Linked DNA regions of Mytilus edulis. The protein of the gene in region 3 interacts with the protein of the main gene of each other region in a biochemical or structural test. Links are inferred from orthologs where the notes say so. Each region holds a gene or a part of one and is shown on either strand. Other genes may lie near its edges.

Evidence for each region. The genes of interacting proteins can lie anywhere in the genome.
Region 1: the proteins of RING finger protein 11-like (region 3) and E3 ubiquitin-protein ligase SMURF2-like form a complex in vitro, tested with the Homo sapiens proteins (3 studies listed by BioGRID and IntAct, with this or other methods). The link is inferred for Mytilus edulis from reciprocal best matches to the Homo sapiens genes RNF11 and SMURF2.
Region 2: the proteins of RING finger protein 11-like (region 3) and zinc finger FYVE domain-containing protein 9-like form a complex in vitro, tested with the Homo sapiens proteins (2 studies listed by BioGRID). The link is inferred for Mytilus edulis from reciprocal best matches to the Homo sapiens genes RNF11 and ZFYVE9.

Annotation. Positions count from the first base shown.
Region 1 is NC_092352.1:15,167,450-15,175,848, forward strand, and holds the start of E3 ubiquitin-protein ligase SMURF2-like, read left to right. Parts: upstream 1-4,980; 5' UTR 4,981-5,105; coding exon 5,106-5,163; intron 5,164-8,154; coding exon 8,155-8,193; intron 8,194-8,399. UniProt on the Homo sapiens protein: E3 ubiquitin-protein ligase which accepts ubiquitin from an E2 ubiquitin-conjugating enzyme in the form of a thioester and then directly transfers the ubiquitin to targeted substrates.
Region 2 is NC_092344.1:110,623,182-110,631,083, forward strand, and holds the start of zinc finger FYVE domain-containing protein 9-like, read right to left. Parts: upstream 3,420-7,902; 5' UTR 3,333-3,419; exon of another isoform or gene 3,294-3,332; intron 2,038-3,293; 5' UTR 2,006-2,037; coding exon 1,951-2,005; intron 1,210-1,950; coding exon 1-1,209. Other genes in the region: ERI1 exoribonuclease 3-like, read left to right, coding at 3,475-3,690, 5,451-5,567. UniProt on the Homo sapiens protein: Early endosomal protein that functions to recruit SMAD2/SMAD3 to intracellular membranes and to the TGF-beta receptor.
Region 3 is NC_092344.1:15,814,411-15,823,508, reverse strand, and holds the start of RING finger protein 11-like, read right to left. Parts: upstream 3,220-9,098; 5' UTR 3,199-3,219; coding exon 3,079-3,198; intron 1,489-3,078; coding exon 1,337-1,488; intron 1-1,336. Other genes in the region: uncharacterized protein, read left to right, coding at 3,793-3,818, 6,173-6,307, 6,952-7,040, 8,944-9,098. UniProt on the Homo sapiens protein: Essential component of a ubiquitin-editing protein complex, comprising also TNFAIP3, ITCH and TAX1BP1, that ensures the transient nature of inflammatory signaling pathways. Promotes the association of TNFAIP3 to RIPK1 after TNF stimulation.

The DNA.
Region 1 (8,399 bases), on a different chromosome or scaffold from region 3:
AATTTGTTCACATGAATCTCACATGAAATTCAAGTGACAAATTCCACGTAAGATTAACCTCAAACGTGCTTGTACATAAAACTCACGTGAAAATGTTCATGTGAATTTCACGTGAATTGAGATTCACACGATTCTCACGAGAAATTTTTCACATGATTTTCACGTTTACTTTTCATGATTTTATTTTAATTTGAATTTTAGATGTTATTAGAATCATTAACATGACATGAAATTCAAGTGAGATTCACATGAGGTTCATGTGAAAATTCACATAAACTGATTTCATGCAGTGGCGGATCCAGAACTTTTCATAAGGGGGGCCCGCTGACTGACCTAAAAGGGGGGCGCTCCAGTCATGCTTCAGTTATTCCCTATATAATCAACCACATTTTTCTCACGAAAGGGGGGACCGGAATTTAAATTCACGTGAAATTGAAGTGAGTGAAACAAGCCAGAAGTCCGTATCAAGCATAAATTGTGTTTCACGTCGAAATTGTCTCGTTTTGCAACCTTTCTTAATCTATTTTTTTTAAATTGTTACATCTACGTCTCCTTTTGTAATACAGCTCTGTTACTGAACAACTGAAACATACGGCTTGCATATATATTATGTGACACAGTGTATAGATGTAGTCTGATACTATGTGCTATTGTGAAAAGATTAACAGTTATACACCCTAGTGTCATAGATGGTAAAAAGATGAACAGGAAGATACCGTGAGCCATGGTACAAAGATAGTCATATATCGTGTACTATGATAAAAAGATGTATAGGCAGATACCGTGTGCCATGGTACAAAGATAGTCATATATCCTGTACTATGATAAAAAGATGTATAGGCAGTTACCGTGTGCCATGGTACAAAGATAGTCATATATCCTGTACTATGATAAAAAGATGTATAGGAAGATACCGTGTGCCATGGTACAAAGATAGTCATATACCGTGTACTATGATAAAAAGATGTATAGGCAGTTACCGTGTGCCATGGTACAAAGATAGTCATATATCCTGTACTATGATAAAAAGATGTATAGGCAGATACCGTGTGCCATGGTACAAAGATAGTCATATATCCTGTACTATGATAAAAAGATGTATAGGAAGATACCGTGTGCCATGGTACAAAGATAGTCATATACCGTGTACTATGATAAAAAGATGTATAGGCAGTTACCGTGTGCCATGGTACAAAGATAGTCATATACCCGTGTGCCATGGTACAAAGATAGTCATATATCGTGTACTATGATAAAAAGATGTATAGGAAGATACCGTGTGCCATGGTACAAAGATAGTCATATATCGTGTACTATGATAAAAAGATGTATAGGCAGATACCGTGTGCCATGGTACAAAGATAGTCATATATCCTGTACTATAATAAAAAGATGTATAGGCAGTTACCGTGTGCCATGGTACAAAGATAGTCATATATCCTGTACTATGATAAAAAGATGTATAGGCAGATACCGTGTGCCATGGTACAAAGATAGTCATATATCCTGTACTATGATAAAAAGATGTATAGGAAGATACCGTGTGCCATGGTACAAAGATAGTCATATATCCTGTACTATGATAAAAAGATGTATAGGCAGTTACCGTGTGCCATGGTACAAAGATAGTCATATATCGTGTACTATGATAAAAAGATGTATAGGAAGATACCGTGTGCCATGGTACAAAGATAGTCATATATCCTGTACTATGATAAAAAGATGTATAGGAAGATACCGTGTGCCATGGTACAAAGATAGTCATATACCGTGTACTATGATAAAAAGATGTATAGGCAGTTACCGTGTGCCATGGTACAAAGATAGTCATATATCCTGTACTATGATAAAAAGATGTATAGGCAGTTACCGTGTGCCATGGTACAAAGATAGTCATATATCCTGTACTATGATAAAAAGATGTATAGGCAGTTACCGTGTGCCATGGTACAAAGATAGTCATATATCCTGTACTATGATAAAAAGATGTATAGGCAGTTACCGTGTGCCATGGTACAAAGATAGTCATATATCCTGTACTATGATAAAAAGATGTATAGGAAGATACCGTGTGCCATGGTACAAAGATAGTCATATACCGTGTACTATGATAAAAAGATGTATAGGCAGTTACCGTGTGCCATGGTACAAAGATAGTCATATATCCTGTACTATGATAAAAAGATGTATAGGCAGTTACCGTGTGCCATGGTACAAAGATAGTCATATATCCTGTACTATGATAAAAAGATGTATAGGCAGTTACCGTGTGCCATGGTACAAAGATAGTCATATATCCTGTACTATGATAAAAAGATGTATAGGCAGTTACCGTGTGCCATGGTACAAAGATAGTCATATATCGTGTACTATGATAAAAAGATGTATAGGAAGATACCGTGTGCCATGGTACAAAGATAGTCATATACCGTGTACTATGATAAAAAGATGTATAGGCAGATACCGTGTGCCATGGTACAAAGATAGTCATATACCGTGTACTATGATAAAAAGATGTATAGGCAGTTACCGTGTGCCATGGTACAAAGATAGTCATATACCGTGTACTATGATAAAAAGATGTATAGGCAGATACCGTGTGCCATGGTACAAAGATAGTCATATATCCTGTACTATGATAAAAAGATGTAAAGGCAGATACCGTGTGCCATGGTACAAAGATAGTCATATATCGTGTACTATGATAAAAAGATGTATAGGCAGATACCGTGTGCCATGGTACAAAGATAGTCATATATCCTGTACTATGATAAAAAGATGTAAAGGCAGATACCGTGTGCCATGGTACAAAGATAGTCATATATCGTGTACTATGATAAAAAGATGTATAGGCAGATACCGTGTGCCATGGTACAAAGATAGTCATATACCGTGTACTATGATAAAAAGATGTAAAGGCAGATACCGTGTGCCATGGTACAAAGATAGTCATATATCGTGTACTATGATAAAAAGATGTATAGGCAGATACCATGTGCCATGGTACAAAGATAGTCATATACCGTGTACTATGATAAAAAGATGTAAAGGCAGATACCGTCACGTTGTCATGATGAAAAGATGAGCAGCCAATTACTCTTGCGCCATGGTACAAAGATGAACAGTCATATACCGTATGTTATGGTGAAAGGTGTACAGGCAGATATCGTGTATCATGGTGAAAAGATGAACAGTCAATTACTCTAGTGGCTGTGCCATGGTAAAAAGATGAACAGTCATATACCGTGTACTATGGTAAAAAGATGTACAGGCAGATAACGTGTGTCATGGTTAAAAGATGAACAGTAATATACATTTGTACCATGTGCTATGGTGAAAAGATGTATGGGCAGATACCGTGTGCCATGATGAAAAGATGAACAGTCAATTACTCTAGTGCCATGGTAAAAAGATGAACAGTAATATACCGTGTACTATGGTAAAAAGATGTACAGGCAGATAACGTGTGTCATGGTTAAAAGATGAACAGTAATATACCATGTGTTATGGTGAAAAGATGTATGGGCAGATACCGTGTGCCATGATGAAAAGATGAACTGCCAATTACTGTAGTGCCATGGTACAAGGATGAAAAGTCATATGGGCAGATACCGTGTGCCATGGTGAAAATATAAATAGATATATAACGTGTGCTATAGTGAAAAGAAGTTCAGTCAGATACCGTGTGTCACGGTGAAAAGATGAACAGCCAATTACTCTAGTGCCTAGGTAAAAAGGTGAACAGTAATATACCATGTGTTATAGTAAAAAGTTCAGTCAAACGCCCGTGTGCCGTGGTGAAAAGATTACAGTCATATCGTGACTCTAGTGCCATGGTAAAAAGATAAACAGTCATTTACCGCGTGCTATGGTAAAAAGATGAACAGTCAGTTAAAGCAAAGCATCAGTCAACATGCAATTAAACGGTAAATAAAAAATCTTACACCAAGAGACTCAAGTAGAAAGTTTAGGAAAAAGATGAAATTTTAAAATTTTAACTAAATCTTGTTGTTTTTACAATCTATTTTAGTAAAATGAGCAATTATGTTGGTAAATTCCTTTTTAGTTCTTTATATATCACAACGTGACCCCAGAGATGTGGAAATGTCCTCTTAATCTAGCTTATAAACAATGTTATTAGAATTTTATTGTCTTTTCCCCCTCACGGTAAATTGATAAATTTGCTGGACAATGTATATATATAAAGTAAATAATGGTTTTGATGAGGAGCAGACACCAAGCAGAGGGTTGTACTCTAGCATGGACCGTGGACTTGACAGCTGTCACTAACTGTCCTCATCGTACTTTATACAGATAACCAAGCATCAATACGTCATTCACAGCAATTATATCTCATTAATGGTATTTAAGATGATATTGTCAGCACTTAATATATCAGGCACCAAATTCAAGTTCTATCATGTGAAGTTTGGATCAGTAATGTATACGCCGATAACTCCGATAAAAGTAGAAAAAAGACTAGGAGAGGGAGGATCCGCAGGGTCAGTCAGTCAAACTACAGGCACTTGTCTCAGAAAAAATGTCCCTTATACCTTAACACTAAGATATATATAAAAATAGTTACAAATATTAGTGACTGTGGTTGAAACAGGGTGTAAGTGTCAAATATTGTAAAAATACTGTCGATAATTTTAACTAGTTTTAATAAGAAAAGAAATAGAATTTTTCGATAATTTTTTTATGTATTTGTCACTTCAGACCGTGAATTACAATTTACATTACATTTTGTCTCTGAAAAAAATAAAGGTCACTTTATTTCAAATATAAATATGTCATTTTAAGTTATAAAACCAGATAAGTTGTAACTAAAAGTATCATAATTTCTGGCATAATTTAATTTGAATACAATTTACATAATACCACTTAATGAAACAGTTGTTTTAGTTAAATACCGGACGCAAGACTTACTAATTCCCCCTACCATTACCCCGCTTATCTTTGGCGACAGTAATCCTTTTAATGGCCTCTTTGTCGCTACCGGAAGTTGTCAGTTTCAGACTCATTTGCATACAATATTTTGCTTTCTGTTTAAATGAATGGGGATGAAAATGACAGAAAATATATCATGATCTCGATATCTAGCAATGGCTAGTAACGGATCTAGGCGTCATGGAACATCTACTATGAAAATTCGTTTAACAGGTACACCTTATTACACAAATAACTCGCCTATAAGATCGAAACCAAACGGTATTTGTCGATGACCCATTGTACTCCAAAGAAAAATGGCTGCCTTGAGGAATCCAGTAGCAATTAATATCATCATTACAGCGGTATCGTTGAGTGTACCAACTATTTTAAGAAAGAATTAAGGCCTATATATATGTAAATTCTGATATATTATAATTTGACGGCGTCAATTGTTGAGACCACTCTTAAAATGATGTACATTACCATCATCAATGAAAAACTTTATAAATGACAACAAGTAAGGCCAGGACTGAAAACCACTTTTACTTTCTCTTTAAACACAAAGGATGATTGTGAAAAGCGTTTTTCTGAAGATGTCTCATTGGCATTGCTTTTGTTGGATACCTCTTTTTGACATTGTGATTACCCATATGCATAAGATTTTATTAAATCTCTTGAAGGTAATTATTGTCATTCACATGAGTCATGTTGTTGGGTAGTTTGTTGAGACATCGTCTTACTAACCAAATGTATTGTTGAGAATCACCTTGAAAATCCTGATCCTGAAATCAACAATAGACATGATAGAATAATCAGACAGCATGCTCCATATTTGAATACTTATTCTAATAGGTTTTTCAATTTTTTGTCTTGCCGGCTATGAAAGCACTTAAATTATGGGAAACATTAGTATTGCTTTACTGGCATAGTGTTCCTATGATATATCATTTGGCCATACAAGTTTTGAAAAAAATGAGTCCAGACATATTTTTTTGTGACAAGGTAACATGGAATCGCATAGTTAGCCTTTTTACAAATGTATACGAGTAAAGAGTTTATTAGTTATGCATTCAAAAACATTCATATCCTCATGTAATTCTTGTGTACATGTTTATCATATATATTATTTGCAAATTGTTGAAGAACTTCCTAAGGATGCAGATTTATAAATGCAGAGTACCGTACGTACATGTACACCTCAAAAGTTTGTATTTATATATATGTATTAAGTTCAAATTGATAGTCCATTTTAATCGGAGAATTAAGTCATGATTATCTTCATTAACATGGAGATGTTAAAAGGGTTATTTATTAAGTTATTTTTTTAAATGAAAATTATGATAGATGAAACAAAAATTATTTTCAATAATCTTGATTTTGTGATTAGTATATACATTTAATAATTGATTTATAATTTATATTATCAAAATATCTTTGACCAAATTTTAACATTTTCAATAGATAATTTATTATCATGATTATATATAATGTATGAAAAAGATGTGGTATAATTGCTAACAATACAGCTACAATTTACATTTTGTATAATATATGTACTATGTAGGGTCAATCCCAAACATTTCTGGGAATATTTGATTTCCTGGATCTGATGCATAAAATTCTACATAAACTTTAATTATCAATTCCTGAAATAATAACTTTCAAATTAAAATTTATATGAATTATAAGTATTTACTCCTGAAATAGATATATCTTTTAATTGGTTTTACTGCTGTAAAAACAATAGATAGTATTCATTACACAAAACATAAGTCTGTATTCACTATTGTACATGTATGGTAATTTTACTTCCAGTATATTGCCACTTCGGACTTCCAATCTTTATTCCAATAGACATGTTCAACCAAACATGTCATATATACATATTTCTTGAATTCATGGACTTTTAACTTTATGCATCTCTGTATTAAGAATTAACTAGGTTATGATTTGTTAAAAGAAAGACAAATGAAAGAGGAAGATACACATTTGACAGGAAATATTTCAAATTTGGACATGAGAGGAAATACTATTATGAGGATAATCTGGATTTTTCATGGGAATGTACCTTAATCATTTAAAAAAAATATGATTCTTTATATTATAAAATGTAGCATTGTCTTATTAATTTTGTTTTGTCTTTGCAAATGGGTTAGAAGATACTTGAAGTGCTGTACATGTACATGTGTCACAGTCTGGGCAGGGTCTGTGCTATCAATAATGGTTAAAGTTTATAATTATTTTTTAGCAAGAGCTCTGTTACATTTTATGTTAATGGCATTTTCGATATAATATCACACAAATTAACAAAGGCAGTTGCTATTTGTCCGGCCAATACAATGCGCATGTTAATATTGTGTGTGCTTGTAATATTACCTTCAGCCGCACCAGGGGGTCACAAATTATATATATAAACATTTAATAAGCAATGGTTTGCCATCTTAAATTGTCGTGCCAAATCTTGTTAGTTTCATATGAAGTTGAATGTGGACAACGTGTAATTAGAAAAAAAAAATCATATGTATCATAATTTGTATATTCATTTCTTTATCTATGCCTTCACATTGTAAGAAGAGGGAAGAAATAACTTGTAAAACAAACTTGGGTCCTGATAGGCATATTAAGTTAACAAAAGGATTTGGTCTAGTTGAAAAAGGTACAAAATTAGTATGTCTGAAGCTGTCAAACAGAATGATTGACCCCCTTTCTTTGTGATTTCAATTACTTTTTAGTCCGTTTTATAAAATTGGATCATTCTTTGAAGTTCATACTATCGAATGTATCTGCTTGTCAAATTCTAAAAACTGGAAAATTTATCACAATTTTTTATATCGCCGTTTTCAACCATTATCTCACAATTGAAAATCAGTGTTCGGAGTACACGCAACCCCATGGTGCTGCTGAAGATAATATTACATGCACTTATCATAAGTTATGCAAGCACATAAAGTGACATGCGCATTGCAATTACCGTACAAATAGTCCTAGCACTATTTGTCCGGCTAGGTGTACAAACAGCCACTCTGATTAACATATTATTGATCATTTCCAACCATTCACATACATGTATGTGGAAATTGTGGGTGTTTTGGGTTTTGGTATTAAAAATTATACTGCATTGTACCGTGTCATGATGAGTATGGTCAGTGAGTGGAAAAGTCTCTTGTATATTTATATGTACTTGTACACACATCATACAATAATTTTTTTTTTCTATTTTAGTTCTATGTGCCAAGAACTTAGCCAAGAAAGACTTCTTCCGTAAGTATACCAGTCCAAATACTTTCTTTTCGCATTTGGCAGATTCGTTACATACATGCATCAACCATTACATGTACACTGTGTAAAAATGTCAGTAGAATATATGGAAAACAAAAGAGGATAAACACAAAATAAACCTTTGATTTAGCCTTTCTATAGTGCTCATCACTTTGGCATTTACGAAAGGATTTTCAAATGACATAGGT
Region 2 (7,902 bases), about 95 Mb from region 3:
GAACACTATTAGCATCATCTCTTCCTAGACAGTCATAAGAATCATATCCTTCATCTGCCTTCTTATTATCATTATTTCCTGCAAGATTTGATTGTATTTGATCTGTTCTTTTCCTGGTTAATTCAGAGTTTAAACAGTCAGATTTTTCTGACTGTAACTCAGTTTTTGTATTATCTGACACAGGTGAGGACGAAAGCTCAGTTTTAACTGATTGTAACTCAGTTATTCTATTGTCTGTCTTTGATGATGTTGAAAGCTCAGTTTTTACTGGCTGTAAGTCAGTTTTTGTATTGTCTGAAGTAAGTGAGGATGATAGCTCAGTGTTAACTGACTTTAACTCATTGACTCTCTTTTCTGATGTATGAGAAGACGATGACGGAGTTTTGGCATGCAAATTATTATGAATCATTTCCATAGGTTTGTTCTTGGTTAGATCTTCGTTCCTCACTGATGGAACTTTTGAAATATTTATATCATGAGATATTGCACTATCATGACTATTCACTGGTACACTTTCATTTAAATTTACATGAATATTTTCTTCCACATTATCCTTCCCGTTACTTTGATAAAAGTTATTTGGTATGGCATTCTGTTGATATGTTGTAGATGAAGGTATTTGAGGTACATCCTCAGATACAGGTGTGAATATATCCACTACCTGAATAGGAAATTTGTTATAAGTGTCGTCAAAGTTCACACTTCGATCTACATTTCCGAATTCATTTTCTGTTAAATCAGAAGTTTCACAACCATGTAAATCAATCATCTGACTATTGTTTTCATTATGCATATGCATTGGTGCAGATTTATTGTCATGGTAACCATTCATTGTTAGTGTTAAATCACCAGGTTTAGTGGTATGTAATAATCTATCAGGATTTTTGTGACCAAAGTCAAAATTTCCATTTTCAACCGTTTCAACATGTCCATTTGTTATGACATTGCTGAATTTGGATGATACAGTCTCTGTTTTTGTTTTCAATGATGGTGCAAAGTCTGCCTCAGACAAATCAAAATTACTTGCTGGTTCATAAGGTTCGCCATAATCAATAAAGGACAGATATTCATCTTTGCTGTTTCTCTTCCAATTAGGAGCAGAACCTGCCGGTGCTCGACTTACTTCTTCCCAAGAATGATCCTCATTTTTGGAGAGATAAGTTGCATATTCAGATGACACATTTCCAGTAGGTTTTCTACTTGTGGACTCTGAAAATTGACATAAATTTACTAAACAAATTTATTCACATGAGTTTGCAACTGTATAAAAACATTTTGGTAATAAAAGATTAAAATACGACCTAAGTCTGACTAATGTGTATCTTACTTCCCTTTATATAGTTTATGTTGCATTTTAGCTGGCTCTACAGGTTAGGAATTAAAAGATAAACCAACAACAAACCAAAAAGTTTACAAAAACTTCAAAAATTACTTTTCTGATGGGAAATTGGTGCGCTATGCTAAACATGGCACTTACATGTACAGAAGTTATTAGTTGTTAGAAAGTTCCATATTAGCAATTTTATTTATCATCAATTTAACTAGAAAATAAACTAAGCAATTTTATAAATTCATGATCAAGAATAAATACTATCAAAATGTATGAGTAATACATTTTAATAAAAAAAGAAAATCTTGTTCATAAATTCGGAAACCAGAAAATCCTAGTTTTTTTCTCCCTTTATGGCGGTCCCTTATTCCTAAACATCTACAAGAATAACCCCTTGGAACCTTGTGGTACAATTTCATAGAGATACATACACTTACACTAAAGCTATTATCTGGAACCAAATGTCTTCAAACAATGATGACCCTGATAGCGTGATAACATTATTCAACTGCAAAAATTTTGCAGTCATATAAAAACTGGTTATTTGCTTAAATTTGAAATCAGTCATAATTAATCTAATCACATAAACTAGTTCCATGATGTAAAACTGTTAATATTACCTTCTGCTTCAAAGTCATCCAGCACCTTGTCAAGGTCAACTATCAAACTATCCATTGTTTTGAATATGTCAGAAAATGATATTCATCCTAAAATCATAAGATGTATAATTAATTTTTTTAAGAGTCAGCAACCAAACAAGTAAAAACGTTTTTATTAACCCAGTTTTTTTAAGTATGCCCAGTGCACATTGTTGACATTGCAATGCTTACTGTATCTTGTCATTATTGTGTTTACATTGTTTAATTTATCTATAACTTGTGTTAATATTGTTTACATAGTAGAAATTGCTACATGTATGTTGACAATAGCAAGTCAAGATCCTGCTTATATTGTTTATGTAACAAGTCTATACCTTTGTGTCTACATTGTTCCAATTGTAGACATTGCAATATTGACAGTAGCAAGTCAACATTGTGTTTATATTGTATACCAAGTATCTCTGAGTTTACATCATAGACATGTTAACGGTAGCAAGTCAACATTGTGTTTATATTGTATACCAAGTATCTCTGTGTTTACATCATAGACATGTTAACAGTAGCAAGGCAACATTGTGTTCATACTTTTTACTAAGTCTATACCTTTTTTTACATAGTTTACTTCATAAACAAAGCGATGTTAACAAATTTGTGTCAACATTGTTTTTATATATGGCATACCAAGTCTGTACCTTTGTGTTTACATCATTACATCATGATGTTGACAATAGGAGTCTTTACATCTGCAATGTCAAGAATCACACATATCCAAATAGGGATATATGCACCAGGAGGGAAAAGTTTTCAGCATACAATCAGTCGAAGGCTTCACAAGGATGCACCAAAGTCTTAGGATGAATTCAGCTACATTCAGATTAGTTACTTTATTCACCAATACCTTGTTGCAACATATATAATTCACCTTATCGCTATTTGTCCTCAATTACTGAACATCACAAAAGATCTCGTAAAATGTTGATGTCTTAAAAGAAAATATCTGATGCAAAAATGGAAAAGTGATTGTTGTATGACGTCAATAGTTCAAGCGTACACAGATTCTTAAGTCAAGGCAAACAGATTTCGAAATAGCGATAAGATGTAAAAAATTTGTCAAAAATTTCTTAAACGTACAACCAATCTTGTGTATACAATCAGCATTTGTCCCCTTTATAAATATCCTTATAATTTCTGTCCATACACTTAAATATATTGCAAATGGTGGAATATTATGGTCAAATTCTTTAATCATCTGTCATTTTGTATCAATTTTAGACATTTGTGAGCTGATCTCAGATTCCTGCGCTTATGTTGGGTTAAGTGGACAAATATTCAATTTTTAAAGTTATCATCACATTTATGATCACCTTCTGAAAAACTCAGGAGAAACTATCTGAAATATTTACCAGATATGCCATTCAGAATCATTTGTATTGAATGATCTCATCTTTATTGATGTTCAGCATGATCAAGGTCAAGGGAAAATATCAATCACATGACTAAACCGGAAGTCGTAGTTTAGAAACGAAACCAAAAGTAGAAGTTGTCATGTGTATTTACAAAACATCATGCAATCTCCTGAAACCGATAGTACAACGAATTTTCAGACAACATATTGCAATATCAACTAATTGTATAAACATGGCAGCAGTTTCTGATACAAATTTACAGGGCACAAATAATTTACAGCCACAACCTTTCAAATATTTTCTGGTTTTGGATTTTGAAGCAACATGTGAGAATGGGAGAACAATTGTGCCACAGGTATTTTTCATATCATTAACTTGTATAAAGAAAGATGGGACATGTGTTTCACTTAGTATCAGTATGATGATGATGGGTGCCAGTGGCAGATATCATACAGACGTAGTCAGGTAGTGCACAGGGGCTTATAAAAATAAATATTTTATATAGGATAGTGATCGCCATTGACAGTAAAACTTCGTCTGACCCACTAAACAAGCCCCTGTGCGTAGTGATGGATGTGTCAGTGGTGTTCGCCCTAAATTGATCACCCAAGAATAAATATGTTGTTTACAATATGTAAATTTTTAGTAAAATCATCAAATAATTTTCTTTGATTGTTTATCGCTTTAGTGGGAATTACCCCCTCCTTTTTAAAAAAATCCTGGTTGCAGAATAGCAATGATAATGCATGTGTAAGAAATTCATTATATAACCCCATTGTTTTATTGATGTGCTAATATAACATTTGGAAGGGCTGTATTTCAATGTGCTGTTTTATTTCAATTTGATCCTTATTTGTGCTTAATTTATTTAACCTTCATATTTGCTTATTTTATTTGACCCTCATATGTGCTTATTCCATTTGACACTTATGTGTACATCCTGCCCCAAGTTAGTCCTTGAATTTTGTTTTCTTTAAATATATGCTTTCCTTTTAGCGTATTATGCTCTGATCAGTTCAAACGTGAGATCATTTGATTTCAACTTTCAAATATCAAAAGTAAAAAATCTGGATGCCAACATGCAATTGTGTCAGCTCACCTTTTCAAATGTGGGTCTCTTTTTGCCTTTAATTGGAGACCAGTTTTACAAAATGATGATCGAACTGATCTATTTCTTAAAGCATCAACATAAGCTGCACGTTCACTCATTTTGTAAACACTCTAGAAAAAAATTGATTTTGGAGATGCTGAAATATTTGCATGTTGTTCCTGAAAACCCTGGTCAATTATTTCTTGTGTTATCAAACCAAAAAGGGGTTTAATAGTAAGCTTATAACCCATGGGTTGCTTATTTTTGTAGCATTATATATTTGGTGAACTTAACTTCCATCTGAAGTGATTAAATGGTCCCAGAATTTAATACTTGATAACATTATCCTATTATTAAATGGCAGTCTTGCAAGTTTGGAAAAACATGCATCATTCTAGGCCTTACAGTGTACTCCCAAGATTTCTTTAATAGATATTTCACATAATATAATTTTATAAGATATCTTATATATTATGTCTTATAAATTTTATAAGATAACTTCTATACATGTACTTTATTAGTTATCTTCTAAACTTTAAAAGATATCTTACATAGTACATGTATATAACATATCTTATATAATTTATAGGTGCCTTGTTGGCAGAGTGGTCTATGTAGTTCTACTACTAGCCAGTCAAAACTGAGGTTGTGAGTTTGAACCCTGCTCTTGCAGGAGAATTCGACTCCAATCTCAATTGACTAGATTTGCCAGTTTTCCTATCCAAGGTTGGTGGTCTTCTCGGGACACTCCGGCTTTCTCCACCTATGAAAAATTGACAGGCGTATCATGTGTTCATGGTGCAGCTGTTTATTTGAATTATGCCACTTACTTCTATATCAAATTGGTAAACCAGGGTGCATAGGACAACGACAGTCCTTTGACACTATTCTTGAATTATTCCTATGGATATTCCACAGAAATGAGAAAGCCTATCATTGATTTCAAGTTCAGGTTAAATGCTACATGTTGTGTAAATTTATGGTAATACAAGGTTTATTTAAATTTTCAAAAATGTACTTTTTAGGAAATTATAGAATTTCCAGTATTGAAGATAAATGCTGTGACTCTTCAAACAGAATCAGTCTTCCACCAATATGTTCAGCCAAAAGTAAATCAACAGTTGACACCATTTTGTACTGAGGTAAATTTTGTATATATCTTTCTTTTGCTTGTGTCATATTTTATTGAATATGATTACCATGCCAGCTTTTATTTGACAATTTTTCTCCATTATAGACAATTAGACGTAATATTACCGGTAAATGGTTATGGCATGCAGTATTGAGACAATACATTGACTATAATTATATAATATGAATGGTATTTTAAGTTGTTTATCTAATCTTGAAATTGGACTATATAATCATTATACAATTTATTTGTACTTGTCTAAACTTTAACCTCCACATATTTTCTTGCTATATGCAAAAAAAAATTAATTAAAAATTAGAGAGGACTGACCATTTTTTAAAGGATTTCAGGAAAATGATTTAAATTTTTTTTTTTTTTTAATTTGATTTCTTTATTATGTCATACATATGTCATAAGAAGTAATTATACAGGGATAATTTTTTAACATTTAATGTTTTAATTAAATGTAAGAACATTGTTATCACACCTTATTTGTTGTGGTAGTTTTTACACGACCGCAAACAAAATTTTCGGTCGTATATTGGTATGACGTTGGTGTCTTCGTCGTCCGTAGACACATTGGTTTTCGAACTATAACTTTAGTTTTAGTAAATAGAAATCTATGAAATTAAAACACAAAAGGAAGGTTGGGATTGATTTTGGGAGTTGAGGTCCCAACAGTTTAGGAATTAGGGGACAAAAAAGGGCCCAAATAAGCATTTTTCTTGGTTTTCGCACAATAACTTTAGTATAAGTAAATAGAAATCTATGAAATTTAAACAAAAGGTTTATGAACACAAAAGGAAGGTTGGGATTGATTTTGGGAGTTTTGGTCCCAACAATTTAGGAATTAGGGGCCAAAAAGGGGCCCAAATAAACATTTTTCTTGGTTTACGCACTATAACTTTAGTATAAGTAAACAGAAATCTATGAAATTTTAACACAAGGTTTATGACCACAAAAAGAAGGTTGGGATTGATTTTGGGAGTTTTGGTCCAAACAGTTTAGGAATTAGGGGCCAAAAGGGTCCAAAATTAAACTTTGTTTGATTTTGATTTGATAAAAAAATGAATTATTGGGGTTCTTTGATATGCCAAATCTAACCGTGTATTTAGATTCTTAATTTTTGGTCCTTTTTTCAAATTGGTCTACATTAAGGTCCAGAGGGTCCACAATTAAACTTTGTTTGATTTTAACAAAAATTGAATTCTTGGGGTTTTTTGATATGCTGAATCCAACCATGTAATTAGATTTTTGATATTTGGCCCCAGTTATCAAATTGGTCCACATTGAGGTCCAAAGGGTCCAAAATTGAACTTTATTTGATTTCATCAAAAATTGAATTCTTGGGGTTCTTTGATATGCTGAATCTAACCATGTAGTTAGATTTTGGATATTGGACCATAATAGGTAAATGTCCAATTTAAAATTTTAAAGTTTTTAAGTTTAAGTTCTTAGACCACCTTCATTCTTTGTCAGAAACCTATGTTGTGTCAACTATTTAATCACAATCCAAATTTAGAGCTGTATCAAGCTTGAATGTTGTGTCCATACTTGCCACAACTGTTCAGGGTTCGAAGTCTGCGGTTGTATAAATCTGCGCCCTGCGGTGCATCTGGTTGCTCAATGTTTTCTTAGACCTGTTATATCTTGTGTCCCTTCTAACAGTGAGTGTGGCTGTTGTACTCTGCTAAGCCTCTTTGTGTCCCTTCTAACAGTGAGTGTGGCTGTTGTACTCTGCTAAGCCTCTTTGTGTCCCTTCTAACAGTGAGTGTGGCTGTTGTACTCTGCTAAGCCTCTTTATGTCCCTTCTAACAGTGAGTGTGGCTGTTGTACTCTGCTAAGCCTCTTTTTAAGATTTTGTATCACTTTGCACAGTTTCTTTTTTGTAAACTTTCACATATGATCATGTACATTTAAAAATACATTGAGATAATTTTCATGTTTCCATGGTTATTGTCTTAGGGTTAGGGACGACATCAAAAGTTCAATGTAGGATAAAAAACTTAATTCACATAGTTTTTCCACTGACCCCCCCCCCCCCCCCCCCCCTCTTAACTTAATTTGGGAAAAATTGATTTACCTATAGGGATATATGTAAAAATCGATTTTAGATATACAAAACTTTCAGAATTTTAACCCCCCACACCCCCAAACTATTTGATTTAAGTTTTTTATCCTACATCGATCTTTTGATGTCGTCCCTAATAGACAATCCCCAATTAAAAATGCACATGATGATGTTTGATTACCGGATATGGATTTTAACATGCATGTTGTTATACTTAAGGTCTAACTAGTGGAGCAGGAACTGCTGAACCTTCAAAATACATGAATGCCCCACC
Region 3 (9,098 bases):
TTTTATGAACAAAATGATAATATTATCATGTTGCAAAAATGTAAACTTTAAAGGTCACAGCTGTGGGGAATTCCTACTCAAAGAATATTATTACAATAAAAGATTAAAATCATTTCTTTGTGCACAGTCAATCAAACTTCCCTATTTTAACCCCTACCCTATTTTTATCATCATTTTCTTTTCAGTACTTTCAAGGACACAATGTCTGCGCAGTAGACTATGGAAATATAAATTAACTATTTTTAAAATCCATTTTTTTTTTCATCATGTGACAGTAAAAATATGAATATTTAAAGATAAATTACCTATTTAATATGCTATTTTTTTTCATCATGTGACAGTAAAAAATATGAATATTTTTTTATCATCATGCGAGTCTGACAGTAAAAAATATGAATATTTTTTTGTTGGCCTTTAAAATATAAAATGATTTACAAAAGAACCTTTTAAAGCACTTATAATGTGATGGGGCCTCAACAGGAAGTTTTGACAAAATAATGTAAATGAAACAATACATAACTAATTCCTGTTTACTATATGAGTACTTCCTTATGATAATAAGTAGGTCACATGATTAAAGTGCTTAGTAAAGCTAGATTTAAAGATAGTTAACCAAGTGTACTTTTTTCAACCTGTCTACTTACATGGAAATATAAATAATGTATGTTTATTTACGGTAAAGAAAAGGAATATAAATCAATTGAACTCTTTTGATACCTATAGTTACACAAAATCAATCCTTAAATATACACTTTTCAAACATATTAGGTAGACACTAGACAGTATCAAAATTTGATAAAACATAAATATAATTTAAGCTATAAAAGATTATTTTAAAAATTAAAATCTGTATTCTGCAGACCAAAACAAGCGACTCTATTATAAGAACAAATAATACAATAAACATTTTCACTAGTGTTTTTTTTTTACAAAAAACAAATCCTAAAACTTTTAGTCTATAGATTTAATCTGAAACATACATTGTAACTTATGAATATAAAATACTAAGCAAAATGCTAGTCCAATATTGCTCTGACCTTCAATCGCTGTTTTTCCGGAAAACAGGTTTAAAGAAAAACATTGAGCCAGCCAGACATTTTTGGTACATTGTACCTGACTAAACAATATGTGTTATAGTAGTCTCAGATTGAACCTTTTAATTTTTTACGACTCAAGCCATTTCAGCCAGGTGCCATATGATGAGATTCTACTATATAAATTATTCATACCCATATTAAAGAATGATAAGGCACATAAATATGACTTTTTTTACAAAGCACGGTTACAAGGTAACCACTAAGATAGTGACACCCATGTATAAATATGATCAACTTACTCTTTTCCTCGTTTACTACACCCATCATAAACTCCTGTAGGTAAATGACTTATAAGACCTAATCGTTGGGCAATCTTTATCTGTTCATCTTCTGTAAGCATATTAGCTGGCCGACTGACATTGGGTGATGGATAATATACTGGAGCTCGCTCCTGAAATGACCAAGACAAAAGTTACGAGTGTTAAGAGCTGACAGAGCAGTTGATGAAAGAAGAAGGCATATATACTTCTACATGATTGTCATGATAGTGGTTTATTAGAGCCACATTTACATGTACATAACTGCACATTCCTTACTCCAGTTATTGGCAATAAATTTCTATAGTCAATACACATTTAGGATTTCTTTAACTTTAATAAAGGTCCTGATACCTGATAAGTTATACTTAACTAACCATTGATACCTGAACCTGAAACAAATCCTTATCTATCTGAAACAATTATATCCTGTGTCTCCTAAATAAACTCATCATAGACATCAGGATGAAATTTTGTATAAAAGCCAGACACACGTTTCGTCTACAAAAGACTCACCAGTGACGCTCGAATCTCGAATCGAAACTCCTAAATTAGTCATCCTAACAATCATTAGATTGAAGTTGAAATGTACAATAACCTTCATTTACAATGTATATTTTAAATTTTGTAGTCTTTGTATCACGTTTATATAAAACTAACTTTATAAACATACTCTCTGTGAAGATTTTAAAACTGACATTGTCTGTATCTGTATCTGTATAATACTGGAAATGAACTCAAAATACTGAGTAAAACTTATCCAGGAAATGTGTGTGCACCACTGATGTATCTAGTCATGCGATATAACTGCCTTAAAACTTTCCACAGTTTTACAGTTCACGGCAGCATTTGGTAGTAAGTTCCAATCAATGATAGTTTGTGGAAAAAAAGAATGTTTATAAATGTCAGTATTTGCTGATAAAAGTTTTATTTGTTTGACGTTAGAAATTCTGGATGGTCTAGTATTAAATTCTATATGATGTTCAGTGGGGATGGCTACCAGGTCGTTCACTATTTTATACAGTAGTACCAGTCATTGTTCTCCTCTTCGTTCCACAAGAGGTTTCCATCCAAGGTCCTTCATCATGGAGGTGACACTACTCGTACGTCTATAGTCTTTACAAAGGAATCTAGCTGCTCTTCTTTGTATGTTCTCTATGCGGTTTATGTCTTTTTGTAGATATGGACATTAATTATGAACCAAAATGATTTTAATATTATGCAGAAACATTCATTGTTTACAGGTCCATGTGTTTTTGTGTGTCACTGTTCTAAAGACGCTCGAATCAAATCTCCTAAATTAGTCATCCTAACAATCATTAGATTGAAGGTGAAATGTACAATTAATAACCTTCATTTACAATGTATTTTTTTGTAGTCTGTGTATCACCTACATTGTATATATAAAATAACTTTATAAACATACTCTCTGTGAAGATTTTTAAAACTGACATTAATTATGAACCAAATGAGTTTTAATATTATTCAGAAACTCATTTCCATGTGTTTTTGTGTGTCACTGTTCTAAAAATAGGACATAGACTGTCTTTGTTGTCAAGATCAGCTGATCATGGGGTACATTTATTATACAAACACAGACATCAGCTAATATATATTTTTTCAAAATGTCACAAATATCCATTAAATTATAGTCCTAACTAAAAGTAAATGTTTGTTGATTTGCGTACACTTCTCATAATGACCATAAAATAGGAAATATTTACCTGATATGGTGGTGGAGGTCCAACTGGAACAGGAGCTGCCTGCTGAGTTCCATCTTGGCTGTCATTGTCATGTAACAGCGTAATATCATCCGTACTTGGTGTTTTGAAACAGTTGCCCATTTCTCACAAATATTTTGTCATTCAAAGAAGGGTATTTAATCGGTCATTGTTGACGAAATTTTGCACCAAAACATTAACCAAACAACATCAGTTTTTTTTATCCTTCCACATTTGTTGACGTAAATAAAAAGGATTATTTTTTTTTGACACAGAAATTAGCGATTTTATTTTGAATAATTTTTTAGTTAATATGAAATTTCGAACATAAGTACTACAGGAAAAATATTGAAGATTATTGCTGTATTTTTTTCCGGGTAGAAATAATATTCATAGCGTATGAATATGTCTACTTTCGTTTTAGAAAAATAAAACGCACACGGGAAAGCAATTTTATTAAAATGATCTGAAATCAATAAAAGTAATCGGTATCACTGTTTAAAAAATATATTTTCTTGTTTTTGGAATACATGTCTTACAGCAGAAATCATAACATTAAAATGTTATTCGTGAATAATACATTTACGCTGCATGAAAGCTTCTGTGGTACTCTGATCTACTTTCAGTTTGCCAATTTTGCAAGTTGTTCAGAATAACAAACTGAATAAATGTTATAATGTCCTGAGCAAATCATCTTTAATCAGCTGGTAGTAGAATATGGCAGGAACAGACAAATATGAATGGTAAACACACTATTTTTTTAGTCTTTAGTAATTACACATTGGAATTTTTTGGGAAATACTTAGTCTGTTGATAGTAAAATGCTGTCATTTTTATGTTTTGTTTGCGTGCTGTCTTTGTGATATTAGTTGGCGGCATTGCCACAAAACTCATCAGATGCACCACCTCCAGCTTCAAATTAATCCAATACACCTTATCTCTATTTAAGGAGGCTCGTGTGTATAAAAAAATCAGCAAAAAATTAAACAACAAATTTTATTTATAACACTATTAGTTATTACTTTATGATATGGTACAAAAATCACCCGGACTAATCGATTTGGTTTGGCCACAGATGACTTTAAAAATGTATATATCATTGAAAAAGCTCCAAATTATCTCCCTTTGGTGCAAAAATGTAATTTTTTGACGTTTAAATTGAAATATCTTTTTTAACTCATCGGTGACCTATATTTTTTATTATTGTTTTCAAATAGGCTGTACATAAACTAAACAATTGTAAAAATTAAGCGATTTCTGTAATTTAGTTCTTTTTTTATTTTGATATTACCAATATTTCTTCTATTAGTTCCACAGAAAAAAAGGACATTGACAAAAATGTATGCTTCTTTCGGAAGCAGATTGTGAGCTTGAATGAACGGTGACCCCATATTTTTATTTTATATTTCTATTAGGTATAAGATAAAGTTTAATCATAGAAAAAAATAGCAAAATCCTATATTACAAAAAAAGTTGATATAGACCCGTGAACCCCCTTAATGTCTGCCATTACTGGACATTGCACAGGTTCCCGTAAAATTTTGACGTCATAATACAAAATATCTGACGCCACAATGGAAAAGTGATTGTTGTATGACTTCAATAGTTCGAGCGGGACAAATTCAGGGGTCAGTCAGGATTAGCAATAAGGATTAATTAAGGTGTATATGAATAGGTCCATGAATTGTTTCTGTATAGCTTTTTGTAATTTAAGAACAGTTTGTCTACAGAGAACAGATTTTTTTTTCAAAGTTTCTTACACTTCACTTAAGAACTCAAAGCAGAAGTAGACTATTACCAAAATGTGTGACAATTTGGGAATTTGTAAATTAAACAGGAATTTATTTTTGTTACTCAGTTTCAAACAAACATTGCTGATGACTATATGAAACATTATGATATTTATTGTTGAAAATGCATCCTTGCTCCATGCACATAACACTGCAGCTAGTAACACTGTGATGGTGGTGTTGAAAAAGTATCCTTTTGTGAATATTTTAAATGATTGGTTAACATGCTAAAGGGCTTTTTTTTTTATAATAATAGCTTTCAATGTTTATCCATTTAACTTAACATTCTCATTTTTTATTTTTAACATACTTACTTAACATGCTTAATATATTCAAATTAGAAAAAGTCTGAAAGAAATAACTAACAATACAAAGACTTGTTATAATGCATGTTATCCTATATTAACATAAATATATATTTTTAAAAAGATGAACAAGCACATGCGATCATATAATGACGATTTATCCAGGTCTGTATATTTCAAGTCACATATTTATCAATTATCATGGTTTTTGACCAGGTCAATACGTTATATATATGTTCAGATTATATTGAGCGGGCACGAAGTCTGAGTGTTAATATAATCTTACAGGTCCATATATAGCGTATTGACTGAGTGAAAGTCCTTGATTTCTACATTACATATGTAAATAACGTATTAGAAAAATGACGTTCAATGTTCTTTCTGTGTATTTTTTAATTGTATTTTGCAAAAATTTAAAAATGTTATTGACAATATCATTTTTTTTTAAACTTCATATTTTGTTGCATTAGCATTCTCAAATTCTTTTCATCTGCATTTAACATAAAATTCTTGAAATCTCCTGATAAACTTTCAAATTTTCTTTTCTAATGCGGCGCTTCTTCTGTGGTTGTTATGTGTGACGTCATAAATCTAAATTTAGTAACATTTTCATATTGACCACCAATATATGTATTAATAGCAGCATAGCGTCACTATATGTTAAAAAAATACAACCTTTGAAACATGTGATCGTCATATTATCCAATGAAAACAGTAGAATGCCAGTGGCGGATCCAGAAATTTTAATCAGTGGGGGCCTACTGACTGACCTAAGAGGGGGCCACTCCAGTTACGCTTCAGTGATTCCCTATATAAGCAACCAATTTTTTTCCCAAAAAGGGGGGGCCCGGGCCCCTAAATCCGCCTCTGAATGCTATACCATATGTAATATAAAATAGTAACATTCAAACTAGTGGTTTATGCAAATGCATTACATATTACTAAAATATAGAACTATTTAAATGTTTATAAAGCTGCATGAACCTATAATTTATAATTTAGGTCAAACATCTTGCTTGAGTATCTTCCATCAGGTGTTATATTTGAGATCTGCAAACATTTGACTTGGCAAGATATTTTCCACATTAGTCAGACATGTAGGAGATTCAACCAATTGTGTGATAAAGCAACTATATGGTAAGTCAAAATATACCAGTGATTATTTGTTAACGTGGTACATAACACTACAGGGAGATAACTCTGTAAAAAGCAGCTGAATGTTTAAATCAAATTTTATTTTTAAGGAAATATAATGTTTCCCAATGATCAAAATGTGTCCTTGTCAAAATACTATATATCAAATGAAAATTTTCTGATAAAATACTCCATTCAAATTTTTTGGATTTTTTTATATTTTAAATATATGGGTAAAGTACACGCAGGAAATCCATGTAAATTTGTTCCCACAAGTAATAATAAATCCACAGCAATTTTCACTATTAATTCTTAACTGATATTTATACCCCTGCTTTAAACTCTGTCTATCAGTCTGTCCATCCATCTGTAAGTCTTTCGGTCTGTGACGTCTCATGAATATTTTTTGTCGCATCTTTCTCAATATCTACATTACAACAAGATTTCTGAAATTTGGTTTATGGGTTAATATGAGTCAGCTTTACTGTGTGATGCATATCAAATTCATCACTGAACAACTTCTTATTTTAACTAATTCTTTCAGAGGGCAGGGTATCAAAAGTGATCAGTAACTCACAGATTTACTTGTTTTGATTGTTGTTATTTGTATTTTTGTCTGATAATTTTGAAACATGATCTATTTACAGGCTACAGTTAAAATCTCTAGATTTCAGTAAATGTATGTTTCCATTAGACTTGAAAGTTCTAGATGTTGTCAAAAGATGTCCTCAAATAGGTAAATATCTTTCTCAGTTTCTGCAAATTGTATGTTTCCCAAATACTGAAGAATTAAGATTTACAATAAGTAAGTTGTTTTAATAAGAATTAAATGCTTCTCTTTAAAATTTCATTGGGGTATTAAAGTGTAAGCTGAGAAGAAAATATTGTATGAAACAGAGTCACTTCATATAAAAAATGTATCAATTGTATGCTTTAATTAACGTCTGAAATTATAAAAAGGAGCATTCAATCCTTATAATTACATTTTAATGCTACAATGTTGAAATTAAGAGTTGAATAGTTAGCATATTATTAGCATGTTTTAAATTAGTTTTTTTTAGTTGAGTAATTCTTAAATTAGAAAATACTGCATGCATTTATTTTTAGGATTTTTATACAACTGCAAAAATGGTCGTCGTCACCTTCGTCCAAAGACAGATGGTTTCCAATACATGTAATAACTTTGGTATAAGTAAATAGAAATCAATAAAAGTTTAACACAATGTTTATAACCACAAAAGGAAGGTTGGGATTGATTTGGGGGTTATGGTCCCAAAGGTTTAGGAATGAGGGACCCAAAAGGGGCCAAAACTAGCATTTATCTAGTTTCAGGACAATAAGTTGTGTAAAAGTATTTCAATTGCTCTGAAATTGTACCACAATGTTTTATACCATAAGTAGAAGGTTGGGATTTATTTTAAGGGTTAAGGGGCAAACGGTCTAGGAATTAAAGCCAAAAAGGGGCCAAAAACAAGCATTTTTTTAGTTTTCGGACAATAACTTGTGTATTATTGTATGGATCTCTCTGACATTGTACCACAATGTTCCATAGAACAAAGGGAAGGCTGGGATTTAGTTTGGGGTTAATTTCCCTGAACATGTAGGCATAAGGGGCCATAAAAGGACCAAAAAGAAGCATTTTTTTAGTTTACAGACAATAACTTGGTGTTTAAGTGTATGGATCTCTCTCAAATTATACTACAATGTTTCTTACTACAAAGGAATGACTGGAATTGAGTTTTGGGTTTTTTTCTTCAAGGGGGGTTTCAATAAGTTTGTGCCAAAAAAGGGCCCCAAATAAGCATTTTTGTAGTTTCCAGTCAACTAGTGTTTAAATCTATAAATCTCTCTAAAATTATACCACAAGTTTCCATACTACGAAGGGATGGTTATGGGGGTTATGGCTCAAATAATTTAGCAAATAGTGGCAAAAAAGGGGGGAAACGAGGGTTTTTCCTGGTTAAAGGCAATTTAGACAATTTAAAAGCAGTGTAAAGGAGGTATTCCCAATTCCATTTAAAGAATACTGTTATATACATGTTTGATTACCTCCCTTAAACTGCTTGAAAATGATGTATTAAGAAATGGTGCTTGTCTTGAGATGATTAGCTGTAATCTTTTTTTAGAAGTTACTATAATTAATATTAATTTTTACCATGACTGTATGTCATCTTATATTTTAATATTTTATGATCTATTTAAATGAGTAGTAATTGTTGCAAACTCCATTAGAAATTTGAATTGATATTGTTTTTGGAATAGGGGGGGGGGGGTTCTAATTTTTCTCATTTTAGATTTCAGAAATTGCAAAGAAAATTTCTTCAAACATTAATTTTTTGAAGGGATTAATATTCAACATGTTCAACACTCAACAGCATAGTGAATTGCTCAAAAGCAAAAAAAAAAATATTAAGTTCATTAGATCACATTCATTCTGTGTCAGAAACCTATGATGTGTCAACTATTTAATCACAATCCAAATTCAGAGAAGAAAATTTTTCATACAATATATATCAGATATCAGAATGAGAGTTCTTGTTTTATGACATTAAGGTAGTCAAATTATTCACATTAAGAAAAACCTCGCAATTAATTCTGAATTTGAGGTAGTTTGTTTTTACATAAGTTTATTTTCACAGAATTTTTGAAGTTGACTAATGTGGTTTCATCAGAGAATGCACGAAAGTTTAGAGAAGAGGAGACCACTCCTGCTGACAGATTTCTTCTGGAAGTCTTACGGCATTGTCCAAGTCTATACACAATGGACTTGTCAATGGTAGAGTTAACTGATAAT